Stegostoma tigrinum: one gene and its partners. The protein of the gene in region 1 binds, or shares a complex with, the protein of each later gene. Links are inferred from orthologs where the notes say so. Each region holds a gene or a part of one and is shown in the gene's direction. Other genes may lie near its edges.

The links.
Region 2: the proteins of bone morphogenetic protein 2-like (region 1) and rgmb are in contact, whole or in part, in a crystal structure (PDB 4UI2), measured with the Homo sapiens proteins. The link is inferred for Stegostoma tigrinum from reciprocal best matches to the Homo sapiens genes BMP2 and RGMB. Residues at the interface, in NP_001191.1 of Homo sapiens: Val308, Gly309, Trp310, Trp313, Met371, Tyr373, Leu374, Asp375, Glu376, Tyr385, Met388; in NP_001353437.1 of Homo sapiens: Lys97, Arg100, Gly101, Leu103, His106, Ser107, Leu110.
Region 3: the proteins of bone morphogenetic protein 2-like (region 1) and repulsive guidance molecule A-like are in contact, whole or in part, in a crystal structure (PDB 4UHY), measured with the Homo sapiens proteins. The link is inferred for Stegostoma tigrinum from reciprocal best matches to the Homo sapiens genes BMP2 and RGMA. Residues at the interface, in NP_001191.1 of Homo sapiens: Val308, Gly309, Trp310, Asp312, Trp313, Met371, Tyr373, Leu374, Asp375, Glu376, Lys383, Tyr385, Met388; in NP_064596.2 of Homo sapiens: Arg91, Arg94, Gly95, Leu97, His100, Ser101, His104.
Region 4: the proteins of bone morphogenetic protein 2-like (region 1) and nog2 are in contact, whole or in part, in a crystal structure (PDB 7AG0), measured with the Homo sapiens proteins. The link is inferred for Stegostoma tigrinum from reciprocal best matches to the Homo sapiens genes BMP2 and NOG. Residues at the interface, in NP_001191.1 of Homo sapiens: Trp310, Asp312, Trp313, Val315, Ala316, Pro317, Pro318, Gly319, Tyr320, Ala368, Ile369, Ser370, Met371, Leu372, Tyr373, Lys379, Val380, Val381, Leu382, Lys383, Asn384, Tyr385, Gln386, Met388; in NP_005441.1 of Homo sapiens: Ile33, Arg34, Pro35, Ala36, Pro37, Ser38, Asp39, Asn40, Pro42, Leu43, Val44, Asp45, Leu46, Ile47, His49, His199, Arg204, Arg206, Pro219, Ile220, Gln221, Tyr222, Pro223.

What each region holds. Positions count from the first base shown.
Region 1 is NC_081362.1:10,208,333-10,215,309, reverse strand, and holds the start of bone morphogenetic protein 2-like, read left to right. Parts: upstream 1-3,975; 5' UTR 3,976-4,333; intron 4,334-6,162; exon of another isoform or gene 6,163-6,956; intron 6,957-6,977. UniProt on the Homo sapiens protein: Growth factor of the TGF-beta superfamily that plays essential roles in many developmental processes, including cardiogenesis, neurogenesis, and osteogenesis. Induces cartilage and bone formation.
Region 2 is NC_081356.1:86,607,218-86,615,158, reverse strand, and holds the start of rgmb (RGM domain family member B), read left to right. Parts: upstream 1-4,926; 5' UTR 4,927-4,930; coding exon 4,931-4,993; intron 4,994-7,941. UniProt on the Homo sapiens protein: Member of the repulsive guidance molecule (RGM) family that contributes to the patterning of the developing nervous system. Acts as a bone morphogenetic protein (BMP) coreceptor that potentiates BMP signaling. Promotes neuronal adhesion.
Region 3 is NC_081386.1:27,106,845-27,114,558, forward strand, and holds the start of repulsive guidance molecule A-like, read left to right. Parts: upstream 1-4,707; 5' UTR 4,708-4,968; coding exon 4,969-5,295; intron 5,296-7,714.
Region 4 is NC_081376.1:30,147,238-30,154,972, reverse strand, and holds the start of nog2 (noggin-2), read left to right. Parts: upstream 1-4,734; 5' UTR 4,735-5,526; coding exon 5,527-6,171; 3' UTR 6,172-7,735. UniProt on the Homo sapiens protein: Inhibitor of bone morphogenetic proteins (BMP) signaling which is required for growth and patterning of the neural tube and somite. Essential for cartilage morphogenesis and joint formation.

The sequences.
Region 1 (6,977 bases):
TGAGGCCTGGAAGGGTTGTACACTAAGTAGCTGTTTGCAAATCAAACTTAGTTCTTCATAAGTAATATAAAATATCATTTTAATTAGAGATTTGCTTTCATTTTTACATGGTTACCAGTAAATCTCCAAAAAATAAATTGCTGTTGTCAAATTTCTCCAAAGCAATTGAGTTGAAGTGGTGATCTAAATGGATAATATCCGGAAAATGCAATTTACAGACTAATAAAGCTGCTTCTGTGTTCTGGCTGGATTGAATCTCACCTCCTGCAACTTGCATTATCAGCTCGATCTGTGACTGAGATCAGTGGAACAGTTCAAAGCAACAATAAAAGTAATCTGCACCATAATAATTTTGATTAAAATTTGCTGTGTTGATCCTAGATAAGCAGCCTCTTAGCTGTCAGCATTTAGGGTTGTGATTTGTTGTCAAATTTAGACTTTACCTCTAGCATTTGGCAAAAACACCGAGCAACAGCAGCTGTTGCAGCTTCAAGAAGTGGACAGGCAAGATCTTGTTCCCTAGCTCCAACCATCACAAAGAGAGTAAGAAGCTGCAAATACCCAGTGTGGGGAAAGTAGCATCAACTCAATCAGATGTAGGGGAGTGTTATGATGGAGGAAGTTTCGCTTCCTGCTTGGAGAAACCAATGTATTCTGGCCTATGATGCTCACCAATGCCTTTTCCAAGGGCACATATATCACACATTTGCTTAGGCAATGAGTATATAGGATTAATGATGATGGAGGACATTATTGCAGTGCCTGATCATTGTTCGAAGCCTCATTATCTCTGTAGCCTCCTCCAATCTGGAAAGTCTCTGAAGAATCTGCCGTCCTCTTCATCTTTTCCTTCCATTACTCATTGTTGACGACAGTGACTTTCACCTTATGTTCTAGAATTCCCTCTCTCAACCTCCTTACCTCTTCTTTCCTTTGTGAAACTAACTGATTTTTTGTGAATCTGTTGGTTCTCAGTCAGAATGTCCCCTTCTTTGGTGTGGTGTGTCTGTTTTGATCTGCTTATGCTTTCCAGAAGCATCTCATGATGATTTACTGTGCGCAAAGTGTTATGTAAATACACAGCATTGTTGTTGGGTGGTGAGGGGCACCCAGTTATAGAGACATATAGTACGGAAACAGAACTTTATGTCCAACTACTCCATGCCTAACATAATTCCAAACTAAACTAGTCCCACCTGCCTGCATTTGGCCCATATCCCTCCAAACCTTTCCTATTCATGTACGTAATCCAAATGTCTTTTAAACGTTGCAATTGCAGTCATATCTACTTCCACAGGAAGTTCATTCCGCACAGGAACCACCGTCTGTGTAAAAAAAATTGTCCTCACATCTTTTCCAAATTTCTTTCCTCCCACGTTAAAAGTGTGTCCTCCTAGTTTTAAAATCCCACATGCCAGGGAAAAGACAACTGCTATGAACTCCACCTATACCCTTCTAATTTAGAAATTGTCTTCAAGTTGCCTCTCAACCTCCCAAGCTCCAGTGAAAAAGGTCCCAACTTATCCAGCAATTCTTCATAACTTAAACCTTGCTACTGAACATATACACACCATGGCCTGCTGTGTTCCTCCAGCTCCACACTGACACCAGCATTGGCAGTTCTTGCTATCTCTGAGTTATGTTGTTATAATCCTGCTTTATGCACTGGAGAACAATCGGGAAGGTGAATCACTTCCCATTCCTGGGCACACCATCTAATACACACCCCTAAAGGATGCAAGGTGAAGTACCATAGATAACGCATTACTGCTATTGACCAACCTATCAAGGAAAATTTTTGTAGGAAGATAGCAGCAAAATATGTCCCATTCCAAAGACCAAGATCAATGAAGAGAATTTCTGGGAAAAGGCTGAGTTTGATTTTCTAACTGGGTCCAATTTTAAAAACCCAACTTGAGTTTCAGGATTCAATGTAGGCAGCAAAAATATCTCTCCGTCCACATAAACTCATGGAATTTTCGGAGGGTTTCTGATAATTCCAATTCATCTCACTTATACAAGACCACAATATAATCTCGGTGTGTTCAAACAAAAAGTGACAACCAGTCAGCCTGCTCTCGAGAACGTTAACACTTCTCAGACAACGTTAACGTCCCTTAAATGGTCTTTCTGAAAGGGCACACGCACATCCGGCTAGATATGAAAACCACTTTGACCGCGCGTGGTCTTTTTTCTTTCTGTTTTAAACCTTGGTCCGGTGCTTCACTCCTTTCTCTTTGCAAGGTACCTGGGACTGGCTTCGTGACCAGAACCGCTGGGGAGCAGAGGAGGGCGCGTTTGCCCATTCAATCAGCGTCTGATGCACAAATGTTGCAAACTTGCAGCAGATCTGGATGTATCAGATATAATGGGAACTGCAGATGCTGGATGTATCAGATCACTCCTTAGATCCCTTTTCCTGAAAGCTCCCAGACCTGAAACGTTGACAGTTTCTCTCTCCGCGGCTACTGTCTGACCTGCTAGGCAGTTTTTGTGTTTGTGTATATCTTAGGTTTCCAGCGTCTGCAGTGTGGATTTTAGACTGTCCTTTCTGTCTCTCCGTCTTCTCCAAGGAGATTCCACTCTCTACCCACTCAATGAACAAGCAGTGGCGGCGGGCAAGTTGTCCGGGATATTTAAAACAGAAACTGAGAGCGGAACTCAACAAAGGCTTGTAAAGCGTTCTGGGGAGATTGATGAAAATTCGGGTTAAGAATAAGGGGCAGTTTCTCCAGCCAGCTTTCTAAGCAAAAAAAATCAACAGGACAACTTAGAAAGCACGTAAGGAAGAGGAGACAAAATAGAGAAATGAGGCATTTAAACTAAAGCGGACAAGGAGAGAGGGGGAATCAGAACACATGTATGTTGTACCCGTGTCTGGAATGAGATAGATCAGATGGTGGGGTGCTGGGGGGGGGGTGGGTGGTGGAGAAGGGGCGCAATTGGATGTTACGGCTGAATTGGGATCTTTTGGATCTGTCACGGTGCACAGAGGTGAGGTATGAATTAACAGGGCTATAAATAAGACTAATAAATAGCTCTATTAATCCCAATGCATGTTCTCTCTGGGCGCTCCCGGGAGATGTCTAATGCACACGTACGTATGTGTTGACGAATGTTGACTGAATTATAAAACGACCGGGTATTCACAACGTCAGAAATAAAACAAAAATCGGGAAATACACACAGCGGAATTTGTTGGAGAAACTCAGCAGGTCTGAACAAGGGTCACCAGACTTGAAACGTTAACTCAACTTTCTCTCTCCAGAGATGCTGAAGAAGGGTCCCGACACAAGACGTCAGTGTTCCTGCTCCTCTGATGCTGCCCGGCCTGCTGCGTGTCTCCAGCTCCACACTGCGTTATCTCTGACTCCAGGATCTGCAGTTCTGACTGTCCCTGCCGGACCTGCTTGAGCTTCTCCAGCCATTTGTGGTTGTGTGTAACCCATAACATCAGTCCGCCTGCCATCGGTATTATGGATTAGTGTGTATGTTATGAATTTGGTGTGTGCATTGAGGATTGCCATGTGTGTTAAGGATTTTACGTGCGTATTGTGGTTTCGCTGTCACACAGCGATTTCAATCTCTCGGTGGGGTTTTACATATTTGTCCCGACGTTTGTGAACTGGACCTTGTTGAAAATTCTGATAGCTGGCGGTAAATGCATATACCCCTTACCCCACTCGGATGTCTGAGGAGTGCGGTGATAATGGGAGCTGAGGAGTGCAGTGATAATGGGAGCTGAGGAGAGCAGTTTTGTTTAAAGCAACAGTTCTCTCTTTCTGTCTGACGGAGAAACTCTATGACAGTATGTAGGAAGTTCTCTGTGTCACAGACACAGCATCAGTCAACCTGTTTACACTCTTAAACAGAACCTTGTTTTTCTAAAAAAAATACAAAAATCCACTGTGATGTAATGACGTTAGATGAAGATCGTCTCTGAAATGAATGAGTCACTTCATATCTGTAAACATTCCCAATGCCAGCCACAATGCCGAATCACTAAAGGGGAGTGAGTGAGTGAGTGAGAGAGAGAGAAGAGTGAGAGAGAGAGAGTGAGTGAGTGAGAGAGAGCCCTCACATGAGCGACTGTGAAGTCATTCACTCGGAAGAACTGACTTGCTGCGAGATGCTTTAAATCGGGCGCCCGGAGCCTCATCTCGCGTTTCGTTTCACACATGCAAAGATTAACTTCTGGTCTCTCCGGGATTGCTCACTCAGTGAAATGATTCGCCTTTCCTTCCCGTTCGGCACTTTTTCATCAAATCCCGCTGACAGGAGCAGCCGGGTTTTGGGGTGCAGCAGCGTGGTCTAATGCAACATTCTCCATCAGGTAAAGGGGAGTGGGAAGATCTGAAATTTCACTCATTTGGTCATTTGAGTCGTTCAACTGCAGCGAGCCAATTGCTGCTTTTGATTAGAGGGTGCAAGATTTATTTGATAAACTTACAATTACTCTTAACCTTTATTTCGTCCCTAGTACATCCTTTGTTTTTACTTGATTTTATTTTTCATACAGCACACACATCTTTTCATCCCTAATACACAGCCATGTCCCAGAATCGTTACTACATTCTCTCTTGTCATACACATGTTCTGCCGCCGGTTTTAAATTTCCTTCTCTCTCTCTTTCACTTTATCTTGATCTTAGACTGCCTCTTCCCACTGTGCACGGCGTCACACCTGTACGGTCTGTATTGTTTTTAAAACTTTTGTTTTCGATATATTGATGGTTTAAAGTTGTAAATTGAAGTGGTTGTTGCGTGTGTGTGTCGGAGGGGAGGGAAGTCACGGGGGTGGGGGGAGGTGAGTGTTGTGAGGGGGAGGAGGGAGCTGATTCCGATCTGTGCTGAGCCGAGTTTCAGGATGATTTTACTTCTCTCTCTCTCTCTCTCTCTCTCGCGTTCCGAGAGAGTTGTACAAAGAAGCCGTTGTAAAAGCAAGCTGGAAATTCAACCCTCTGGCCTTTTGCTGTGTTGACCAGGAGTTGGCGCTCTGGGCTCTCTCTCTCTCTCTCTTTGTCGAACATATATCAGACCCAAAATCTTGTTTCGTTCAGGGGGTGTTGGGGGAGGCAAGACATCCCAAAGCGAGTGGCAAGTGCTTTTCCAACATTGCATCCCTGAGTGACCTCTCTTCTTGAAATCCTCACTGAGGGAACCAAACCAGAACAAAACAGCCGAAGAATAGAAGTCTGAGCTAAACTCTCAGACTTTGGTCCTGTCACCGAGGGGAAAGCGCACCGTTCTCAATTTCCCGACACCCCACCCCCACCCCTCCCTCACCACTCCCCCCCCCCCCAACCCTCTGGGGATGAATGGAACCTCCTATAACGTGTGGATTTCTGAGAGCCCAGCCGTGTCTGTCCCAGCGTGAGTTCCCAATCCCATTGCTGTGAGCGCCGAGATGATATCTCGGCATGAACAAGAGTAAATAAACCTCACACGTACTGCAGAGAGGCTTCTGAATTCTGGATCGCCTTAAGAAGTGTTCCTCGGATCTTTTTATTTGTGGGGAGGGGAGCGCGGAATGGACAGTTCAGAATTCAATTAATTGCGATGACTTCTCCCGCCCCAAACCCCCACCCCTCACAAGCAGAACCCAACTATGTTATCAACGGGATCTGGCCTTTCGAATGACCGACCCCATTGATCGGTAGATTTGGTTTGGATAAACACCGGGGTCAGAAAGCGCGCTGGACTGGGCCAGTCTGGAGGGCGTTGGGTGGGGTGGGGGCTGCGATGGTGTCTATGTATGTGTGAAAGGATATTTTAAAGAGGCGCGTGTGGCTAACAAAAAAAATGGCATTTATATTTTGCTGCGCTGAGTTGCCATTTCTCTATCCCACCAAGCCTCCCCCACCCACCCACCCACCCATACACACACACACACACACACACACCAAAAAATAAAACATAAAATCACGCAACGTCCAATCTGCTGCCCCGGCGTTAATCCTCTTGGCAGAGAAATGTTTTGTGCTATTCCACCCCCAACCCAAGTCAAAGATTCAAACTCTTGCTCTGATCTCAATGTCGAGATTGTGACAGGAATCAATTATCGCATTTGATTGGCATCAAGCGTCATTGACGTGACATCAGCCGGCAAGCAGATCGTATATATATAAAGCCGCTTTCAATTACTTATGCAGCAGAAGCGGGAATCAGCGTTTTAAACAAAAACCTTACTGAATATATATATATATATATATGTATATATATGAAACCCTTCACTCACTCTAGATTGTGTGTTTGTTGTGTGTGACTGTATATATGTATATATAAATATATATGGGCCACTGTGTTAAGAAATGATGGACTTTCCTATAGCGCTCATTGCCCGGGGCTTTGTGAGTGAACCGGACGATTTGCTTGGACTCCGTCGCCGTTTTCGGGTGTATTTTCGACACAGAGATCTGAAAGCAATGTTCTGACCCCCTCTTCGCCTGCTGTTGATGGGCGTGAAGGGCTGCACTGCCCTCTGGAGAGCTTCCCAACACCCGGGCAAGGGAGGAAGAGAGCGAAAGTGTGGAATAAGCAGCGAGCAAATGCGGGGCACAGGGAAGAGCAGAGAGGAACTGGTTCGATTCCTGGTCCCTGGACGGGAATAGCTCGGCGGAGTCCCGCGGCGGTGCTAGACTCAGAAGGGATAAACCGAGACGAGGGTCAGAGAGGGAACCGAACTCACCTCCTTCCTACCAACAACCCTCCCTCCCTTTTTTCTGGATGTAACAAAAAAAAAGCAGCCGCGGTGAAGAGACAAATAATCGCCTGAACTTTTCCTCTCCCGCCTCTCAAAACCAGATGCTCCGGCGCCTCGATTTGCGGGAGGGGGGGACCAGAGTGAACCGGGGACGGGGCTAGCGAAGGGCGGCAGCGCCCGCGGACCGAGTCGGAGCTGCCCGCGTTTGAATGGACCGCTGCTTTCTCTGAGCGGGGCGCCTGTTCAAGGGAAAGGTAACGCGGGCACAGGAGCAA
Region 2 (7,941 bases), on another chromosome or scaffold:
GTTCTACCCTCAAATCAAGACTATATTCATTCGTGTGTTACTCATAAATTTTCAAATTACTTACTTTGTTAATAATATTTCTTGTGTAAACATTAGCTGCATTCCTGCTGCCAGTACTTAGAGGTAAAGCCACTGACTATGCTGTCGTGTATTGTTTTAGAAAAAGTTGAAAGGCGCTGTTAGACTATTTTGGAAAACAGATTGTTACTAAAGCCATGTTTTAATTATTACTATGCTTAATACAAGTGATTAAAATTGCTAGTAAGAATCTGGATGAAGCAATTGGATATTTTGGAAAGAACATTTGTAAAATATACATGCTTTTCTTTGTTCCACATTTCAAAGCAGTTGAGGTTGCTTTAAAGTCAAAAATTCATCCTGAAACCCGATCTTTTATAGGTTTGTTTTCACTGATTCGTATTAACTCCCTATGTACTGACCAAGGAAATAGTGAAAATAGATTTGGAGGCAGGATGAGGGGACAGACAGTTGAAAGCACGTGATGATAACTGCATGCTTTAATAATTAGAAATCTGTCATGTAAGTCCAAAAAGAGACCAAAAAACTGCAGATGCTGGAATCCAAGGTACACAAACAGGAGGAATTGAAGCATGACAAGCTGATGGAAGTATGCTATTTTTAAATAACTGAACATCTGGAAGAACTTTGCAAGCCAGGCAGCGTCTGGAGGAGAGGAGCATTCAATGTTTTGGGTATTACTATTCTTCAGGACTGATGATGAAAATGGGGTTGGAGCAGGATAAGGGGATGGACAGTTGAAAGCATGTGATCACAATTGAATGCTTTAATAATTACAAATTTGCCATAGTGTTCAGATTTAAGTGCATATACATTTATTTTAGGAACACATCCTTTCCCCCTTGTTGACAGATGGAATGTAAAATTTCCAGAGAACATTGTCATTGAATAATAGAATCATACAGCAGGGAAACACGTCCAACTCGTCCATTATAACCAAGTCTCCCAAATTAAACTAGTCCCACCTATCTACGTGTGGCCCATATTCCTTTTAGCCTTGCCTATTTATATTCCAGTCCAAATGTTTTCAATGTTCTAACTATACCTGCATCTATAACTTCATCTGGCAGTTCATTCCACATATGAACCACCCTCTGTGTGTAAGAGATGCCCCTCAGCTACTTTTTCAATCTTTCTCCCCTCATCTTAAAAATATGTCCCCTAGTTTTGAATTACCCCACTTTTGGTTTATAGCACCTGATCTTGATTTTCTTGCCAAAAATATATCACTTCAAACTTTTTTTGCATGAAAATGTTATCTTCCACTTGTCCACCCATTCCAAGCTTATTTCTCTTGTCAGGAAGGCTATTGTTATTTTCCTCATTGTTCCTCACTGTCATTCGTAGCTTTTGAATTTGTGCTGTGTACACCCAGGTCTGGCCCTTTAATACGGAATAACAAAACCTAGTACTGACCCCTGAGAAGCCACATGATATACTTTATTTTCCTCCAGTTCAAAAAAAACTGGCCGTTCACCTCTACATGCTGACATTTGGGACACTTTTTCTCCTCTTGCTGCACTGTCCTTTTACACTTTGCTGACAAGCCTGTTGTATGGCTGTTCATCAAACTTGTTTTTGAAATGCATATACACCAAATCAACCTCCATACTCTCAACATTTTAGGTGAGAGTGAAGTAGTGGCGATATCGCTGGCCTGGATTCTTTCAGTGTCTCAAAAGAAATAGTTTCAAAAGGAATTTACCTACCATGTCTGGGGATGATAAGACTGACAGAGCTGTTCTTGAATCCCTTTCTTGTGTCCTAGTTCTGATCCTCAAGATGAAAAGTTACAACTTGTAGTTTCTTTTCAGCAATGTATAAAGATAGTATCACATCTGTCCTCTATCTCGTCGACCTGGGAGTTGTGGATTTGTTTGTCCTTTCTGTCGTTAAAAATATGGTTTGATTGTACTCAACGATCTCTGCTTTAATGGTTGCCCGTCTGTGGTTCAGTTTTGCCTGCCGATCTTAGGTTTCGGTTTATCTGGGCCAGATCAGGATCCAGTACCCTTTCTGCTAGGGATGTCATTTGTCCCCTGCTCGTTTGACAGCAACTGGGAGACTATTCAGATGTCTCCTCTTGATACTGCTGGTTTATCTTTTGGGTTACTGTACTCTTAACCTATTTGGCCATGACTTGAGGTCTGCCTGGAGCTGGTTTGGACTGGCAACCAAGGTAGAACTTGAAATTGGCAGTCTTCATCTTGTTTGATGGATGAGTGGAGAGAGAAGACTGGAGGAAAGTAATCATGGATCCTGAATTTTAACCTCATGTTCAGATGGACCATGACTTAGGTGGGGTAGTTAAGTCAAAGCTGGAAGGTGCAGGTGCCTGCCTAGGATGTACCATTCTACTAACAGTCCTTTACTTGCCCTACGTCGTCTCCTGTTCCACTAGCATACCTAATTGCCCCACCCGTCCTGTCAGTGAAATGTCCTGTATTTTGTTTCTTCAGAGTCGTTCATCCTGTCATTGGTACTGACATGAACATAGCACTGGCTGTTCATCTTCACAAGTGCGGTTTACTGCCACTCTGTGACGTTTTCGCGGGGCACTGGGGAGATCACACAAATCTTGGAGTAGTGCCTATGGCCCAGACGTACCCAACTGCCCTGATTAAATCATTGCTGTCATCAACCAATATTCAGTTGTGAACAATGGAGAGTGAGATACAATCCAGGACTTCAGCAACACTGGTTTGTCTTTCTTTCCGGCCTGGTGATTATCCATTTCTGCTCTACCTGCGTACCTTGAAGCAATAGGGTGCCCGTATTCAGAAATATACAGTTCACGATGACTTCAGCTTTGTCATTTTGTGTCTGTTCTATTCATGCTCGTGTGTGTCAGTTGAGATGCCATATTTGTATTAGATTGACTTTGAAGCAACCTAACATTGCAGAGTGGTTACCAAGTTTGACTTAACAGGACACCCAAGAAGGTATTCAACAATAGTCAGGCATTTGGAGTTGGTGACTAGTCTACCTCAACTGCATCTTGACTGTCATTCCCTTTTATACAAAACATATTTGCTTTAAGAAGAATCTTGAGCCATCATTGAATTAAATACAGAGTAGAGAATATTTCTGAAATTTTTCTGAATGAGAACCACTTCCAATATCTGTAACCAATGGCAACTTGACAAATTGTGGGAGAAGATAACATGCAATTGTAGAGACTTTCATTCAAGAGTTATTGTTTGTGGAGGAAAAAGGCATCCTCCCATTTTTCCCACAAGTAGAAGAGCTTCAAGCTAATCCGTTCCCTTGGTTGCTATCTGTGAAATGTTAAAATTAATTGATATTTTTCTACCTAACATAGTACGTTTTGTTCAAGCAGCAATGGTGAGTTTGAGATACTTTGCTTTTTATTGTACAATTTTTTTCCACACTTAAGTTCACCAATTAAGGGAAGAAAAATCTATTTGACTACTGGCCCAGACTTTGCTGAAGAAAAAGTGATATAGTCTGTTACTAATTAGCAAGTCGATAAATAGCTAATGATGTGGCAGGGGTCTTCATTCCTAACAAGCTGCTGGCCAATCTGCACATTAATAAAGCTTTCATTTGCCAAAATTAAAGTTACTTTATTTTTACATTTGACTCATAAATTCACCATTAAATTTAAGTAACTCGGCAAATGCGCAAGTAAATGTGTGAAGTCTTATTTCAGATTATCAACGATACTAAAAATGTTAAAATGTAAATTATAAGATGTTTGTTTTTGCTTTTTCCTTGTTTCTGTTTTGGCCTCTAAATCTGGTCTTTCTTTCCCTTTCAGTTTTCTTCTATACTTGATTTGACATTGAACTGACCCACTCTAATATACCCTCATACTCAGTTCTTTTTGTTTATTACTCCTTTTAATCTCGCTGGTTATACATTGTTTATTTTGTTATTCGTTGCCATCACTGAGCAGTTTTCACTTCAAGCATCTCTGTGAACAAGTTACTTTTATAAACCTACATGTGCGTGAACACATCTGAAGTGCACATTGAGATGCCTTACTAGAGCAAAACCTGGGCCATTATCATTGATTTTTGTTAGGATTATTTATTATTCATTGTTACTGGTTTAAATAAATAAATCATGAAATTTTGGAAAACGTTTTGAAGGTCTGCTTGTTAAAGGAAATGTTTCATAAGCAAGTTTGATGTGACTTGTTGACATGCATCTCATAACAAGCTGCCTTCTAGAAGGAGAGGCCTTGATCTAAAAATCCACACATTCTTACTGGATATGAGGTGTCCATGCCTGAGAGAGGGCTAGGTGTGGAGCAGGAGTTAAAGTATTTTAATACACATGATAAAGAATGAAGAAGAAAATCACAAGTAATAGACTGATTACTCAATGCTTTAAATCAAAAATTAATGTACATTAGAATGGCAGCATATTTATGAATATTTGGAAAGATTTTACATATTCTTTTGATCAATTATAATCATACTTTAATGACCAATATTGGTATCTGTAGAACAGTATTTAAATAATCCTGCATCATTAGCATTTTTCTAGCAAATTACTCACAGTAGAAAAAGTCCTTATTAGCAGATATCATTGCTTCTAATCAGTCCTGTTCATTAACTCTGCAGCTCCACTGAAAACCCTAAAATACTGGCTTTTCAATGGGAAAAGAAATATACTGGTCTGACAGCATTGTGCTTTGAAATGGAGAAGGATTAACTGAAAGACTTCCCTTGTGGATCTTCAAATGATGGAATTCTGAAAAGTAAGTTCGCCATTTACTGTCATATTGGAGAACTCTTCCTAACAGCTGGTTTCTGCTATATTAGTTTTTTGGGAACAGGCCATCCATCTGTCTTCTCAATTGTGAAGAGGCAGTATCCTGGAAACATGCCCTTGGCAATTGCAGATCCTACATGGAGACTTGATGCATTGCAAAAATAAATTTCAAAGATTTGAAATTTTTTCTGGCTTTTACATTAGACTCAAGGTTTGTATTATTTTTTAATCTCTTTCTTGTTCAGTCATATCCTTTCAATAACATGGTGGCCATTGACCAAAACTCTGTGCCCCATTCTAAATGTGAATTAACTAGTATTTCATGCAGCTCTACTAGGATCTTGTTGCTTTTGTGAAATAGAGTATTCTATCTGCTGCCTTGACCACCTAATCTACTTGCTGTGCTACCTTCAGTAGTTGTAAACTCCAGTGACATTCACTTCCTCCTATGTCCTTCATAATCTTACTGTTTATTTCATTTCACTTGCCTTGTTTGTCATGACCCCACCACACCAAGTGTATGGCACGTACTTCTCTGGACTGAATCTCATTTGTCAGTTTTCTCTTCACCTGACCAGTTCTTTGACCTCTTCCTTCTTCCTTGCTATCAACCGCATGGCCAGCTTTCATGTCATTTGCAGGTTCCTTGTAATATCAATGGCTTAAAGGGCGTAATTATTACACACAGCAAGGAGCACACTGCTGACTTTCAGCGAATCCCACTGGAACCATCTAGTTACTAAAGCACCTGCCACTTAGCGAATTGTTTCACCCAACCTGCCCTTAGCCTTGGATCCCACAATCCTACCATGATTAGTTATTTAATTGTGTCACTTAGAAGACTAAGGAGGCAATTGTAATATATAATCCAGGTAAAGAAATAGAGGTACTAGCAAGGGATCCAAACCATCTTTGTAGAACTTATTCATTTAGTCAAACACCTTTTCAGCACTCGAGAAACATTGACCTGCAACCAGTTAGTCAGATGTGGTGGAAATCTTGCAGCTTCATGTAACCTAGATAGAAATATATGTTTAATGGGGCAATCAGAGTGGCATACTGAGAAGGTAGAGGAATTTTATGGGGCTATGATGAGCATTGCTAGTTGCCCTATCCCTGCAAAAATCAGTGGCTTAACTTCAGAGTAATCTACAGCAGTACTACTAAAGATGATTTGTTCTGGTTGTTCTGTGCTTTAAGGGTTAGGTTGGAGTTTTTGGTTGTTCTCTTTGGAACTCAGGAAATTCGGGATTTGAAAGACATGTTCAAGATTATGACAGCTATTGTAGACAGAGATACATAATGACAGAAGTTGTTCCAATCTGCTGATTATATAAAGAATAGGGCACACAGATTTACAGTTACAAACAAGTTGTGTGGAGGGATGTGAGGAAGGACTTAGCTCTTTGTGGCAAGGGTAGTGGAAAGCATTAATTTCTAAACAAAATTGTCATTTATGTGTAGTTGAGTTAAGTAAACTTGCAGGGCTACAGGGAAGGGGACTCACTGGATTGCTCAAGAGAGCTGACAAAAGACTTGATAGGTTGAATAGCATCCTGTTGTGTCATAATGATGCCATGAGAATGATTGATTGTAATTTATTACATAAAATATTGTGGTGTTTTTAAGCTTAATATTTCAATGCTACTGCAAACAAGACCTAGATAAGTTATTGGTGTTTAAAAAAAAGTTTAGATTGCACTATTATCGGCTACATTTTGGAGACGGAAATGGGAGATTGGGGGGAAAACATCCAAGGTGAGGTCTTTCTAGAACCATTCCAATGCTTTGTTTGACTTGCTGTGGTAGTATGAATGGATGTCCTGTCTGTTATCTACCTTGTCTGAAAGCAAACTGTGTTAACCTGATTGTTTAGCAGTGAAGCTTTGTTTTACAGTTCAAACAGTCTTGATGAGAGATTGGTTCCCTCTTAATTTTAGGCACTTCAAAGAGGAACAACTGCGAGACTGGATTTTTTTATTATTTGTGCAAATACTTTAGCAATAGAAATAATGTCTCTGATATGAAATGAAATGATGCATGACTATCGCATCCTAAATGGAATAAACTGAATAGAAAAACCAAGTTGCTGGAAAGCTCAGCAAGTCTGGCAGCATCTGTGGAGGAGAAGACAGTTAACGTTTCGATCTGATGACCCTTCCTCAGAACACGTTCTGAGTTCTGAGGAAGGGTCACTAGACCCGAAATGTTAACTGTTTTCTCCTCCACAGATGCTGCCAGACCTGCTGAGCTTTTCCAGCAACTTTGTTTTTGTTCCTGATTTAAAGCTTCTGCAGCTCTTTTCGTTTTTATTTTGAATAGATTGCAGTTTTTCCCTTTTATACTAAATCAGAAACTTTCTCAAAGAAGGACAAAATATGTAGTTCGAGCTGCATTTAACTGATGTTCTGAGAAGGTTAGATGAAGACAGTCGGTACATGTAGAGTACACATGCTAGCGTTGACCAGTTTTCCTGAATGGTTTATTTCTGTATTGTGAATTCTGTGTCCATATGTGCCTCACTGTGGTATGGGATATCGTCATTCCAAATTATATAGTAGTTCTATTACTCTGTACTTTTTCTTATTGAAGATGATCATTTGTGAATTTGAGACACTGGTTAACTTGACTGGAAATAGCTCTTGAACTGTGGTAGCTGAAACAAGTTTAATGTTTAGCTGCTTAGTCAAACTGTCATTGGGAATTCAAAACTTTACTCAGCCTCATTTTGTTCCTAGAATATGTGTTCTGAAAGACATTTTGTGCCTCAACGAAGAATGTAGTAAAACAAAATCGCCCTAAAATGTTCTTACAGTAAAGATGAATCTTTTCAAAGCATTGAATATGATGAATGTCAGAGATAGTAGGAACTGCAAATGCTGGTGAATCCGAGATAACAAGTTGTGGAGCTGGATGAACACAGCAGGCCGAGCAGGAAAGCTGACGGTTCGGGCCTGATGAAGGGTCTCGGCCTGAAACGTCAGCTTTCCTGCTCCTAAGATGCTGCTTAGCCTGCTGTGTTCATCCAGCTTCACACTTTGTTATATGAATGTCAGTGGCCTTAGTTTTGGAATGGACAAATATTACCTTTTGTGGGTTGACGTCAAAACTGTGCCCTTTCAAATAAGAAAAAAATCTCCTTTATTATGTACAATAGGC
Region 3 (7,714 bases), on another chromosome or scaffold:
AGTGGAGTATTGGCATTGATAGACATTCAACCTTAAGGTCACCAAGCTGAATCTTGGAATGCCAACAGTGTAGAAGCATGCCATTCAGCCCACACCAAACCTCTGAAGAGTATTCCACCACATCGCCACTACCACACCCCCACCCCAAAGTACTGTAACCCTACATTTCCCATGGCTAATTCGCTAAGCCTGCACATCTTTGGGCTGCGGGAGGAAACCCACACAGACACAGGGAGACTGTGCAAGCTCCATACAGACAATTACCCAGAATCAAGCCTGGCTCCCTGGCATTGTGAGGCAGCAGTGCTAACCACTGAGCCACCATGCCATCTGTATGACCCCAATGAATGGGTCATTCTATCTAAGTTGATAGGAGAATTATAAAAAATGATTTCTGTCAAATTGGGGTGTCTTGTCATCTTAGTTTAGGTGTTAGGAGAGGAAAACAATAATGGATTTAGTCAAAAGCATGGCCTTCATTAAACTAACTAAAATAATACCGTTATTAGTCCTGACAAGCATACGCCTAACAGAATCCAAGTGACACTGTGAATCCTAGAAATGCTGCAGAGTTCCAGCGAATCACAGCAGTGAAACAACATCTCATCTTCGGTCTAGGTACTTCACAGCCTTCTGGATTCAATACTGAGTTTAACATCTTCAAATTATGAACCATTTCTTACCTTTTAGCTTGTTACATTCTGTTATCATGTCCTCTTCACCGCCTCCCCCCCCCCCCCCCCCCGCCCCCCCACCATCCTAGTAGGACTGTCTGTCCTTTAAAGTCTGGCTGGAGACACACCATTGTTCTGCCGTTCTCACATTCCAATCACTTAATCTGAACTAACAACATCTTTTCTCCACCAAGATCTCACACCCCCCCAATGCCAAACTATAGCATAAATGCTGATGCCCCACAACACCCCTCCCCCACTCCCACACTTCAGCTCTGATGAAGAGTCATCTAGACTCAAAATGTTAACTTGCTCTCTCTCCATGGATGCTGTCTGACCTGCTGTGATCTCCAGCATTTGTTGTTTTCAGTGAATCATCTTACGTGGTCACAAATAATTTCATCTCCAGATAGAAGATGTGAAATGCCTTAGAAAAAGAAAGAATGTTAACGAGAACCGGTAAGAGTTTTGGATACAAGCAAGAAAGTTTTGTAAGTAAAAGTTAGAAGTTCAAGAAAGCTGAAGCGTTTTAACTTAAAAGCAACAAACTAATGGTGTGCATCATCACAGTGCACAGTTCTATAATGCTAGAACAATTGCCAGAAGTCTGAAGTTGTCTAAACTCAGCCTAGAAGGTGACTGAAGAAAACGATGGCTAGCAGACAATAACTGACCACGGACAGCCTTAGAAGTGAAGCTGAGGACTCCAGCTGAAGTTACACATGGGATGCTAATCTACTGAACAAATAAGGTAGTGTGCCTGCATCTAAAATACAGAGAACAGCCTGATCCCAAGTGCAAGCTTATTAATGATACCTTGAATAACAAGCTACAAATGTAACCTTGCTAAGCCATTTAAACATTGAACCTGTAATCAAGGGGATTCTCGTTACTGCTTTGATACTGTGGCAGACTTAAACTATTTTGCCTGAAATGTAAACTGTTAATTAATAATATTTAGCCAAGTATTTTATGAATGCATGACATTCAAACCATGTTAGTCTTGTTACTATGCATGTGTCAAATAAAGCTGTTAGTCAATGCACCCTCCCCACCACTTTGCCTAAAAAAAGTGCAGTTAATCACTTCATTCAAGCACATCCTTACTGTGATAGTCCAGTACAAGGGGATGCTGCATTTCTAAGTCCCTCATATACAGATTTCAAGACTCAACCGTTCATTTTTATCATTGTAGCAATACTCCCTCTTCCAATACAGTGCTCCCACCCAGGGTCATGGTTTCAGCAATTGTTGCCATGAAAGAAATAAAATAAACAGACAGTTGAGGTGCTTGGTGGCTGTCAACATGTATGAAGTTGATTTGCCAATATCAGTGCCGGGAAATGAATGCTTTTATGTCTTTTGTATCCTTTGTTAAACTCATGCATGTTTGTCCTCCATTGCTTGTCAAAGAAAATAACTCCTCCCCTGGACCCCCCTCCCCCCAGTGCTTTGTTAAACAATCCATTCCAAATAGCTGAGCACAAATTTGCCACAAAACTAAAAACAAGGCAGCTTTGAGGAAGGTGCCAATTTCAGTGCAGAGACTTGCCTCAGATGGCAATGAAAGTTGGAATTCATGCTGTACCAATTTTACAAGTCCATCGATAGAATCAGATCTTTCAAGTTATAGCCTGACCTTCAGCAAGAATCAGGGTTATAATCTCTGCAGTCCATTGTGAAAATGAAGAGTCGGTAATACTTCAAAGGTGTGCTGAACATTGGAGTTATAGTTTTATAGTCCCTTAGACTAGGTAGAGTCTCTAATGTTGTAACTTCAGCTCCAATCAACATCTTTTCTCCACCAGTACCCTGCACCTACTACCCCACGCCCACCCCCAGCTATAAACAGGATTCAGGTATTACAGCCATAAGTTCTGAGTCAGCTGTCCTTGTGAGATAACTTGAGATCAAGTGTGTGTGCTAGTTACAGAGTTAGAATTTCTCTTAGAGATGATGGGAACTGCAGATGCTGGAGAATCCGAGATAACGAAGTGTGGAGCTGGATGAATACAACTGGCCAAGCAGCATCTCAGGAGCACAAACGCTTTTGCGTTCCTAAGATGCTGCTGGGCCTGCTCTGTTCATCCAGCTCCACACTTCGTTATTTAGAATTTCTCTTGTCAACTTGCTGAATTTCTTTTGAGCCAGTTTCGTTTTCTGGCATCTACAATGTACAAAGTGAGAGACTAAACTGTCTCCTGAATCTGAAATCTGATGTTTTGGGTCAGTTGTGGGGCTTCTAATAAGAAAAACTTTCAGTCATTGGGTAGTTATTTTCCCGATAACTAAGTTGATGAAGGTGAGGACGTAGCTCGGTCATATTCCTCAAAGGAAATGAAAGTTTTGTTCATAGAAATAAAGCCCAGGAGATAATAAATACATTTATTGTAGAGTTTGCAGAAGAGAGAGATGGGAACTGCTTACCATTATGGGGCAACATTGTATCACACTTGGGGGGCAGGGGGTTGGAAGGTGTTATCACATTTAAGAAAGGAATATGGCAGAGTAATACACTCATGTTGTTCAAAATAAACATTTTGTTATCTGTGCAAGTGTGATCTTTAAGCAAATCTTTTTCAGGTGTCATGTTTTATAACATCAGCAAAAGCATTCAGTTTGTTGTTTGGAATTAAGGGCCTAATAAAAAAGGGTCTCTGGCTTTGTGTACTTCCAAATCAAAAGGACAAGCCTTCTCAAGGTCTTTGCTGTGTGCTTAAGCTTTTAGTCATCCATTTTTCCTGGCAGCTTAGAGTCAAATCAAAGTCTGGACCATGGATACTGACTAGTTTGCTAACTCACCAAAACAGATATGCATTAAATGTCAGCCATCGCAAGTCAGCCTAATCCTGATCCCTTTAACACTTGTAATTTTCAGCAAGGTATCGCAAGACAATGACCGACGCGCGATAGAGAGCAACACGTGCTAGCAATCTAACATGAGATAATGACCAATGCAACATAGAGTCATATAGCACAGAAACAGACCCTTTGGTTTGGCTTCTCCACGCTGACCAGATAAGATAGTGAGTAACGCGAAATAGTAATCTAATGCAAAGCAGAGATTCAACATGAGATAGTGATCCAGTGCAAAATAATGGCCAACAGATGATAGTGATCAACATGAAATAATGACTAAAATGATAGCACAAAATGGTGACAGATAGCATTTATTGAATATGAACTTGAGCCTTCGAGGTAAGCCATAATATCACCAATACAATTGTGGTACCTGTGTTAGTGTAGCTCTAAAAGGTTGGCACAATATAGTATGGAACATGTACCTCAGTCGCATTGCCAATGTACAGTGTGTTAATAAACATACATTTCAAAAATGCTTTGGCTGTGAAGTACTTTAATTGGGGCTTTCTGGGGTTGTGAAATGTACTATATAAAGGCAAGACTTTTCTTGCAAAGTGAATGCTTCCCTCTGTGGAATGGGCCATACTCCACAGGCCGATTTTATTTTTAAAAATAACTTATGGCATATGAGCATCATTGGCTGGACCTTCTCCTATTAATTCTGGAGGAGGTGGCATTAAATTGCCTACTTGACCCAATGCAGTTATTAGGGGTTGCAGAGACATCCACAAGGGAGTACCAGGATTTTGATCCAGTGATAATTAAAGAATGACGAATATATCTCAAAGTCAGGATCAAGTGTGACTTGCAGGGGCTCTACTCTGATTCCTACATTCCTGAAATGCCAACTGACGCTTTTAAAAATAAAATGTAATGAAATTAAGACATGTCACAATTCTGGACCAACCGGCTGAGTAGGCACCAACACCCAGTCGCAACAATTAATCATCTCATTTGGAAAAATCATTAGTTGATAATGGGGTCTAAGAAACTGATATCAATATATTGATTATTTTTTTTCACATAACGCATTTTCCGCTCAGTGTTTGAATTTCTTCAAAGGCGTATCCTTCAAAAATAAAGAAGCTTTTCCCCTTTAAAAAAAAACTTGATCCTATTGTCAAATTTAACAAGTGGAAAATCGGCTACACCCACGCGGGAATTTTGTCGATGCCACTGTAAGTGTGTGTGTGTGTGAATCCATCTAAGTGAACATTATAATTTTCCTCTTGCTGTGTTTGTCAGTCTGTAATGTTTTAAAATTCATTCCCATCTCCCTGTCTCCTATTCGTGTCTCACTCTCTCTCACATACAAACAAAGTAGTCTTAGATAAGTGTATTGCACTCCCAGTACGTGCTGCAGTTTCCTTTCCTCTCACTCTCTCTCTCTCCCGCTTTGCATTTTAACAAAGCTTTTAGCACGTGGATATCGATGAAAGTCTCTCTCCGTCGCTCATTCCTTCATCTCACTGCCGCTTCTGTATCACAGGCTGTGTGCAAACCAACCCTCTCCTCCCTCCCCTCTCCGACAGCCAGGACCCGATGGGGTCAACGTTGGCCAGAAAAGGGACGATCTTGGAGGTGGAAGCTTTCTAGCACAGACGCGCACACACACACAAAACTGAAAAAGGCACAACAACAAAAATCTCACACAAGCCAAGCTTCCCTTTCCTGCAGCTCAGGGGCTTTGAGTAAAGTGGAGGAAGGACCGGGAGCTGTCATCACATCAGCCGGACAACAGTTACATGCAGCGGCCGAGGTAAGCGAAGGGAGAGCGGGGCTGCAAGTTCAGTCTCACCCGGAGTGAGTAAGTGACAGAAGAGGCGCGCAGCTTGTGATTTCTGTAAATACAGCAGTCTAGCAATAATGATAACAAAACCGGTCTGACTGCTATCCAGGATAACACGCATTTCGGTATATTCCCGTCAATTTTAACGCGATCTCTCAGTCTTGTGTGTGTGTGGGTTTTTATATGTAATTATCTCCAGCCTTTTTAAAGATCGTGGTTTGCATTTATTTTTGGTAGTCTATTTCCCCCCTTTTTCTTTCCACCCCAGCTGTAACAATTTCTTGCAGCTTTTCCCCACCGCAGTCAAGTCCCCACCCGGTTTGCAAATGGATCGGAATGTGGCCTCGTCCGAAATTATTTGAACGGGCAACTTGTCAGTCTTTACAGAGCCTTCGCGGAAACTGGTGCAAATGTTGCATTTTTGCAACTTGTGGAACGGGGAAGGGCGTGCAATTTCCTGGCGCGTTTTCTATTTGTAGCAAGGCCTCTAAAGGTTAAATTTAACATTTTTTTCTCTCTATTTGTAAAATTAAACGTTAAAGGGACAATTGTTTTATAGACAAGAATGACACACATCAAACTATGCTCCTGATGTGTATTGGCGGAGATGACATTTGTAAATCACCCGCGGTTGTATGATTATCCAACATCAGAATAAAGTTTTCGTGTTGTGTTTGGGAAGAATATTTGTGGTTTGCTAGTTGCATATTAAAGGGGTGGTGATGTTATGATTGCCTCTTGTGTGTTATAATTGCTGGAGTGATCTGATTTAAATTGCACAGCGAACGGTTCCCGCTCTGCTTGTTTTCTGTGTTTCTCTCTCTCTCCCCTCCACTTGTTCCTCATTTCTAAGAACAGAAACGTAACCAGCAGATTGACAATTTTCAATGGAAACTGTATCCAAGCCAGCCGTGCCTCCCAGTGTCGAACAGCGACACCTTACGGGATGGACAGGAATGGCGAGATCGGCCACAGAGCATGTTGCTGTCCCCCTAATTAGGAGCACCCCCAACTCATTTTCGTCTGCTTTACCTGGGCAGTTTCTTTCGGTCAGCACAGTCACCATCGGACTTACTTCGCCCATTGGAACAATAGAGATGCATTACTATTTGTGACTACTAGGCACTTGTCCTTTTGTTGGGCTAATTGGGAGGTGGGGTGTTTGAGGGGAATTAATGTTAGAGAATTTAAACCCCAGATCATTTAAAGTTTTTTGCAGGTCCATCTTGGATGTCTTTAATTTCAGCAGGCCTGCCGCTGCTGGATTACTGTAGGACACTTACAGTCAGGCTGTCACTGTTAGGCGATAGTTTTGAGTGATTAATCAAACATTTGGAGATTAATTAAAACATTTTATGAACGAAGAGGAGTCAACAAAATTGAAACAACCGAGACGGAGGAATTAATACAGTGGACAGAGTCTTCCTCGGCAGATTTTAGCCCTTAATTAAAGCAAAGAACTGTGGATGCTGGAAGTCTGAAACAAAAATAGAAATTGCTGGACAAAATCAGCAGATCTGGCAGCATCTGTGGAGAGAAGAAGCGTTGTTGGATTCAGTTGTTAATTCTGCTTTCTGTCCACAGATGCTGCCAGATCTGCTGTTCTCCAGCAATTTCTGTTTTTATTTCAGTCTTTAGACTGTGTCAGTAAGATTATCTGGTTTTATCCAATTATTTTAATACATTAGTTTGTGTGTTGATCCAACTCTCCAAACAGAAATTACTCTCATAGGAAAATAAGCCATTAAAATTTGATCTAAAAATTAGATTAATCCTTCTTCCAATAACAAATCTCTTCCTAAATTTATACTGTATCAGTTTATGATTTCTTTGAACATGTAGGGTGACCTTGAAGAAGAAACTACAGATTACCAAGGTTACTGTTGTATTCCATTTTTTTTGAACAATTAATTTTAAGCTTATCAGTTAGCCCTTATTGACCAATGAAATGGATCCAATTGATATGTGAATCCATTGAGGGAACAGTTTTACATTGAACAAAATTGTCCTTATTCAAAGTAGGCATTATGAATGTGAGATAGTAACTAACTGATGCAGAAAGCAATTCAGAAGAAACTTATATATTCAGAGGGTAATTAGATTGTAGAACATGCCACCACAAACAGTAGTGGAGATGGAACACAATGATCTGGAGGACACTAGGTTAGTATGTGAGGGTACACAAAATGCTTTGATAGGTTCGATAGGGACTGAGGGAGCCAGGAGGGAGTTTCTGATGGACAGCATCATACAAAAGTTAGTCCTAGTGGCTTGTTTCTGTGCTGGAAATTCTATGTTTGCTGTGCAGACAGTGCCTACATTGAAAAAGTACTCAATGGCTGCAATATGCTTTGGGATAACATAACATTGTGAAAGGTACTGCATAAAT
Region 4 (7,735 bases), on another chromosome or scaffold:
ATTTCTTACACCTTGATAATAAAATGTGAGGCTGGATGAACACAGCAGGCCAAGCAGCATCTCAGGAGCACAAAAGCTGACGTTTCGGGCCTGGACCCTTCATCAGAGAGGGGGATGGGGAGAGGGAACTGGAATAAATAGGGAGAGAGGGGGAGGCGGACCGAAGATGGAGAGTAAAGAAGATAGGTGGAGAGAGTGTAGGTGGGGAGGTAGGGATAGGATAGGTCAGTCCAGGGAAGACGGACAGGTCAAGGAGGTGGGATGAGGTTAGTAGGTAGCTGGGGGTGCGGCTTGGGGTGGGAGGAAGGGATGGGTGAGAGGCTCCTGAGATGCTGCTTGGCCTGCTGTGTTCATCCAGCCTCACATTTTATTATCTTGGAATTCTCCAGCATCTGCAGTTCCCATTATCTCTGGTTCTTCCTCTCACCCATCCCTTCCTCCCACCCCAAGCCGCACCCCCATCTACCTAATAACCTCATCCCACCTCCTTGACCTGTCCGTCTTCCCTGGACTGACCTATCCCCTCCCTACCTCCCCACCTATACTCTCTCCACCTATCTTCTTTACTCTCCATCTTCGGTCCGCCTCCCCCTCTCTCCCTATTTATTCCAGTTCTCTCTCCCCATCCCCCTCTCTGATGAAGGGTCCAGGCCCGAAACGTCAGCTTTTGTGCTCCTGAGATGCTGCTTGGCCTGCTGTGTTCATCCAGCCTCACATGTTATTATCTTGGAATTCTCCAGCATCTGCAGTTCCCATTATCTCATTTCTTACACCTCACTTAATACCCTAATATTTCTCAACAGTCTGTCTTAATTCTTGATGCACCTTGTTTTTCCTTCAGAATGTTGCCTGCTGGTTCCCATTTCCCTTCCAAGTTCATTTCACCCCTCTGCACCACGTAATTACCCTATGAAGATGTTGGTCCTAGCCTCGTTCAGGGGAAACTTGGGTGGTATGTATAAGCCCCATCTCCCCCTAAAATGGTCCTAATGTTCCAGTAATCCTGCCCCCTCCACCATCCCCTAGCCATGCATTCATTGGCTTTATCCTTGCATTTCTATAATCACTAGCATATAGGAGTGAGTATAATCTGTAGTTTACTACTTCTGAGATACTGCTTGCAAGTTTCATTCCTAGATCCTGAAAATTTGTCAGCAGGATCTCAAACCTCTTTTTAATTATGTTATTGAGATTGCATAGACCATGATCATTGCTTTTTCACCTTCCATCCTCAGAGTGTCTATAGCCGCTCAGTGACCTTGACACTGGCAAAATGCCATACTGGAGTTATGTCTGCAGTCTTAGAAATGCCTGTATGTTCTGTATCTATGTGAAACCCTATCATTATTGTTTTTGTAGTCTTTTCCTGATGCCTTTACAGCTAAGCCAGCACACTAACATGGACTTAGCTCTAGTTGCACTATTAAATACAGGATGGAGAGTGAGATACACTCAGGTAACTCTTGCATTACCTGCCACGTTATCTTCAATGGCTTGACAGAAACCCATTCCCCCTTGGCCTCATATTGTTAAACTGTGGGCTGACCACCTCCAGAAATTTGTTATTCTCACAATTCTTGGCCTTTCAGATGCATTGTAGTGACGCCAACTGCTGCTAAAACTCTAAAACATGAATCTCAAGTTGCACCAGTTGATAATGCTTCCTGCACATGCACAATAGACACATTCCACAGCACTGAAATGTCCTAGCATCTCTCTATTAGACTATCCAAAATTCACTCAAAAGCTTGTATGTATTAGTCCTTCTAGCCACTCTCCACATTCCTCACTTTCCAGGTGCCTAAAACAAAAAGTAACAGTGCTGGTTCAGCTCTCATGGTGCCAAAGAGAAGACAGTCACAGATGAGGTGAGTAAGGTTGGCACATTGGAATATGCATCTTAGGCCAGGACACCACATCAATCTGTGCCTGGAGCTAGCAGAAAAGTGGTGTGAGGGTTTGAGTACCAGAAATGTATGGGTTTAGGGACCATAAGTGAACAGTTTTGGAGCAGGGAGATTGTAGCACTGGCATTCTGAGTGTTATGAATGTGGTGGGTCTAGAACAGGGGGAGAGATTTTTGGGTCTGGGAATTTGAGTGGGGTATATCTAGGCCTGAGAATCTGGGAACCAAGGAAGTGTAGGTTTTAGAACCAGAGGAGTTGGAGGTATAATCAATAAACTGGCAGCCAGGAGGTTTGAATGCTTGGGAATTGGGGTTTATGGGTCTTAGAAAATGGGTGTGGCTGGATTTAGGCCTTGGGAGTTGGGCAAGGGAAAATTTGGAGCTTTGGGAGCCAGTACTATCTTATCTGGTGACTGCGACCTAGGAGGGTGTAAGTTTGAAAACTTGCAGGATATGTGTTTTTAAGTTTAAGAGCCAAGAATTATCAAGCTGGAGCTTTAGGATATGAGAGCCGAAAGGGTATGGCTTTGGCAGTTTGAGGGTTTGAGAGCTATGAAGATGCACATTTTGGCTTTTGTAAGCCGGCATGATGCAGGTTTGGAGTTTGGTAGCCAAGGAGACTGTAGACTTGGGGGCATTCAAGCCAGAAGGTGCGACTGTGTGTGTTTCACAGAAGTATAAAATCATTACAGAGTGGAAGCAGGCCATTTGGTCCATCAAATCCACACTGACCCTCTGACGAGCATCCCACCCAGACACACACCTCTATTCTAGCCCTGTAACCCTACACTTCCCATGGCTAATTCATCTAGCCTGCATAATTTAGCATGGCCAATTCACCTAGCCTTCACATCTTTGGACTGTGGGAAGAAACCAGAACACCTGGAGGAAACCCACTCAGACACAAAGAGAACATATGAACTTCACACAACAGTTGCCCAAGTCTGGGATTGAACCTGCGTTCCTGGCACTGAGAGGCAGAAGTGCTAATCACTGAGCCACTGTGCTCCTGCAGAAAGCCAAGTGTATACATCTTTGGGATTTGGGGTTTTGAGAGCCGGAGTGCAGCAAGTTTGGTGGCCAGGAATGCAGGGTTTGGGATCTGATGCTGGGAAAGTGCAGTGCTGGGGTTTGGGAGCAAGGAGAATGTGGATAATGTTATTTAGGAGACAAAAGTGTGTGGATTTGACAACAGGAAGTGTCAGTTAATGGGGCCAGGAGGTTCAGGTTTGGGGGTTTAGGAGCTTGGAGTTTGTAGATTTGCACATTTGGGAGCCAAAAGGATGTGGATTTCGAGTAGCAAAAGTATAGGTTGGGTTTTGATAGCCAGGAGGATTGAGAGTGTTTAGGAGCCCAGAAAGGAATGATTTTGGAGTGGTGAGACTGTACATTTGGGGGTTTGGGAAGCAGGATGGGTTTGGGCTTCTGCTACATAAACGATGTAGCTTGGGGGCTCTGGCCACCAGTAGTGTGTGAGTTTGGGGATCTGAGAAACCAGGAAGATGTAGGATTGGATATTTAGAAATTGAGAAGATATAAGGTTGTGAGCCAAGAGGATGCTGTTTAGGAGCTAGGGAGGTGTAGATTTCATGCTTCAGAGTTGAAACAGTGAGGGTTTCGGAATTTGGGTGGGGGGAGTGTGTGTGTTCTGAGGTTTGGGAGATGGAGGTGTGAGTTTGGGAGCTGGGGATGTGTGTGCTCTGGGGATTGGGAGATAGCGGTAGCGGGTTTGGGAGCTGGGAGGGTATTGTCTGGGGTTTGCAAGGCAGAAGGGTGTGGTTTGGGGGTTTAGTGGTGGGAGGGTGCGGGTCACGGTGTTTGGGAGACGGGAGGGTGCGGGTCTCGGTGTTTGGGAGCCGGGAGGGTGCGGGTCATGGTGTTAGGGAGCCGGGAGAGTTCGGGTGTCGGTGTTTCGGAGCCGGGAGGGTGCGGGTCACGGTGTTTGGGAGCAGGGAGGGTGTGGGTGTTGGTGTTTGGGAGCCGGGAGGGTGCGGGTCTCGGTGTTTGGGAGCCGGGAGGGTGCGGGTGTCGGTGTTTGGGAGCAGGGAGGGTGCGGGAGTCAGTGTTTGGGAGCTGGGAGTGTGCGGGTCTCGGTGTTTGGGAGCCGGGAGGGTGCGGGTGTCAGTGTTTGGGAGCCGGGAGGGTGTGGGTCTCGGTGTTTGGGAGCCGGGAGGGTGCGGGTCTCGGTGTTTGGGAGCCGGGAGGGTGCGGGTGATGGTGTTTGGGAGCCGGGAGGGTGCGGGTCTCGGTGTTTGGGAGCCGGGAGGGTGCGGTTTACGGGGTTTGGGAGCTTGGAGGGTGCGGGTCTCAGTGTTTGGGAGCCGGGAGGGAGCGGGTGCCGGTGTTTGGGAGCCGGGAGGGTGCGGGTCTCGGTGTTTGGGAGCTGGGAGGGTGCGGGTGACGGTGTTTGGGAGCCGGGAGGGTGCGGTTTACGGTGTTTGGGAGCCGGGAGGGTGCGGTTTACGGGGTTTGGGAGCTGGGAGGGTGCGGGTCTCGGTGTTTGGGAGCCGGGAGGGTGCGGTTCAAGGGGTTTGGGAGCTGGGAGGGTGCGGTTTACGGGGTTTGGGAGCCGGGAGGGTGCGGGTCTCGGTGTTTGGGAGCTGGGAGGGTGCGGGTCTCAGTGTTTGGGAGCCGGGAGGGTGCGGATCTCGGTGTTTGGGAGCCGGGAGGGTGCGGGTGTCGGTGTTTGGGAGCCGGGAGGGTGCGGTTTACGGTGTTTGGGAGCCGGGAGGTTGCGGGTCTCGGTGTTTGGAAGCCGGGAGGGTGCGGGTTAAGCAGCTGGTGGCTCTGGCAGGAGGGGCAGGCGGAGGGCGGGGGTAAGGTGTCAATCAGAAGCGGGGCGCCGACCCGGGATTTCGCCTCTCTGCGGGACACAGATATTTAACCTGGAGCCGGAGACTCGGCATCAGTCCGGCTGCAACAGGAGGCAAGGAGCAGAGACAGGACGCCTCCCCAGGATCAACACCGGCTTCATCTCAGGATCAACCTGGCATCAGCACCGGGATCAATCCAGGATCAGCACCGGGATCAACCCGGCATCAACACCGAGATTAAGCCGGGATCAATCCCGGATCAGCAGCGGGATCAATCCTGGATCCTGAGCGGGATCAGCGCTAACAATCTCGCTGCCGGTAGAGCTGGGGCCGGGCGAGCCCGTGTGCCCCGGAGTGGAGCCCAGGAAGCGGGCCGCCCTGGGCCGGAGCCGCCGCGCTCTCTCCCGGGCTCCGGGCCGCCTCTCACTCCGGCTCCTGTCATCCCGTCTAGACAGCTTGTGGCAGTGAGTCCTGGCGTTGCCATGGCGACAGGCAGCAAGCCGACGTGAATTTCGGGGTAAAGAATCTGGAAAAAGGCCGCTTTTCTGGTGCTTTTCGCTTTCCGGAGGTGGATCGGTGGGAAAGAAAAAAAGCGAGGAAGGAAAAGAAGGCGAGAGAGTGGAAAGTGAGAGAGTGTGGGAGAGGCTGCGAGAGACAGCAGCTTAATCCGGCAGCAAAGTTAAACCTCAGCACGTCCTGTACGTGCCCGTCATTCAAAGCCCAGTGTGTTCTATTAAAAGTATCAGTCTGCTCGCTTTGCAGCCTATTTATAAACCTCTGGGCTCGCCGAACTGGCCCGTTTAAAACATGGAGCTGCCACAGTATATGCTGAGCTGCTTCTGCATGTTGCTACTGCAGCACGGACTCTGCCAGCCTTATCTGCACCTCCGGCCCGTCCCCAGTGACAGTTTGCCCGTGGTGGACATTATCGAACACCCGGACCCAGACAACGATCCCAAGGACAACGATCTGGACGAACGGGCTTTACGGAAGAAGCTCGGCAGTCACTTCGATCCCAACTTCATGTCCATCACCCTGCCCCAACTGGACGACTCTCCGTCCCGGGACCCGAACTCCAGGTTCAAACCTCTGGGCGCCATGCCCAACGACATCAAGAGGTTGGATTTGTCCGAGACCCCTTATGGGAGGAAAATGAAGTTGGGTAAAAAGGCCAGAAGGAAGTTCCAGCAATGGCTTTGGTCCTACACATACTGTCCGGTGATGTACACATGGAAGGACCTGGGAGGCCGCTTCTGGCCACGGTTTGTTAAAGAAGGCAACTGTTACAACGAGAGGTCCTGTTCATTCCCCGAAGGGATGCTGTGTAAACCTGTCAAATCGATTAGCAAGACTTTCTTAAGGTGGTATTGCCAAGGATGGTCAAAACCCAAGTACTGCACGTGGATACCTGTACAATACCCAGTCATTTCCGAGTGCAAGTGTTCCTGTTAAAGGGAGAAATGTTCTCATGCAGACTGGGTGAATCCTATATACAGATGGTCTATAGTATAACAGCGCCCTATAGTGAAATCTATTTTTATATATCGCATTCTAAAGAAGCGCCAGCTTTGTATCTATATAACACAATGAGATTTAACGTTGCAGAAAATCATGGTTTTTTTTGGGGGGAGGTGGGTGAGGGTGGGTTGGGGAAAATTGACGGACCATAATGAAGCTCCACTCAGATGGAAGGGATATTCGCAGTCACACTGCGGGCCCTGATCGCTGACTTTGAGAACTAGCAGCAACTCCGAACAAGTCTAGCCTGGGTTTCCATTCACTGAATCCTAATAACTGCCTTTAATGCCATGTGCCTAGTTTTTTTTTGTAAAATAATAATAATTATTATAAAAAAAGTTGAGGTGAAGATATTACAGAGTGAAATCTCAGCTTTCCAATACAATATAGGAGTGTAGAAGAGTAAAATCTTGTGTCCAATTATTTATTACTTTAACGTTTGTTGATATAAATGTAGATGATACCGTGACATTTGGAAATGTTTACTTGAATATTATTTCTAAAACAAAACATATCAATGTAAATATAATGGTTCAATGTTTTTAGCAATAAAATCTCATCTTTGAAACAAAAAAGTTTGGACATCTGACAGCATTCAGAGCCTTGGCTTCTTTGGGTGCGAGAGAGTGCTTCTGTGCAAAAGAATAGAACAGTCTTCATGATCTATCCGAGCGGAGGCAGCCCTTCATCATTTCAGTCATTCGGAGCTGCCTTTGAAACGTCCCGTCCCTGCACCCTTCACAAGCCGCCTTGTCGGGAATGTGTACTAACTGTTCCATCTGCAGCTTTAACAAACTTTAAGTGACTGTGTCCCCCACACGGTTTTCTAAACGAGATCACAGGTAATGAACAGTTACAAACGGTGCCTAGATTCCAGTCACGGAAGATGTGTTCACTATAAAATCGCATGTGAAGCTGGTTCGTAGTTCATTTATCAAATAAACGCTGTCCAAGGAACTTAACATCAGTTGCAATAAACTGTACAAAGAGGTTCGTTTTGTACAAGATAACGGTATTGTTTCAAAGCCCATTCAGTTGTAAAACCTTTGGTTTAAAATTTGGGGAATAGAATAATTGCAGCGTCCATCCTGGAAGGGGGAATCTCGGGGCAGGTCTGCGGAGATCCCGGCATAAACAGGTGAAAAAAAGTCAGACTACTGAAAAAACAAACAAATCAAAAAGATGTTTTTAATTTGGAATGTGTCCAGCAGGATTGGGGACACGTTGTCTGGGCATCTGAGTGGGCTACCCCTCCCCCCCTCGCACACAAACACAGATATTTATACAGCGATGCAGCCTTGTCTCGAACTTACTTGCTAAGAAATGGTGTTGAAACTTTACAGGCCGCTTTCACTGAACTAAATGGATAAGGAGTGGGGAACAGCACGGAATGGAATAGGCAACTGATAGGAGCGCTTTGCTCTGTCTGCTCCCTCGGCGTTTTTCCAATCTCCAGCAAGCCCAAACACTGTAACTGTTATAAGTGGTGCTCGCTAAC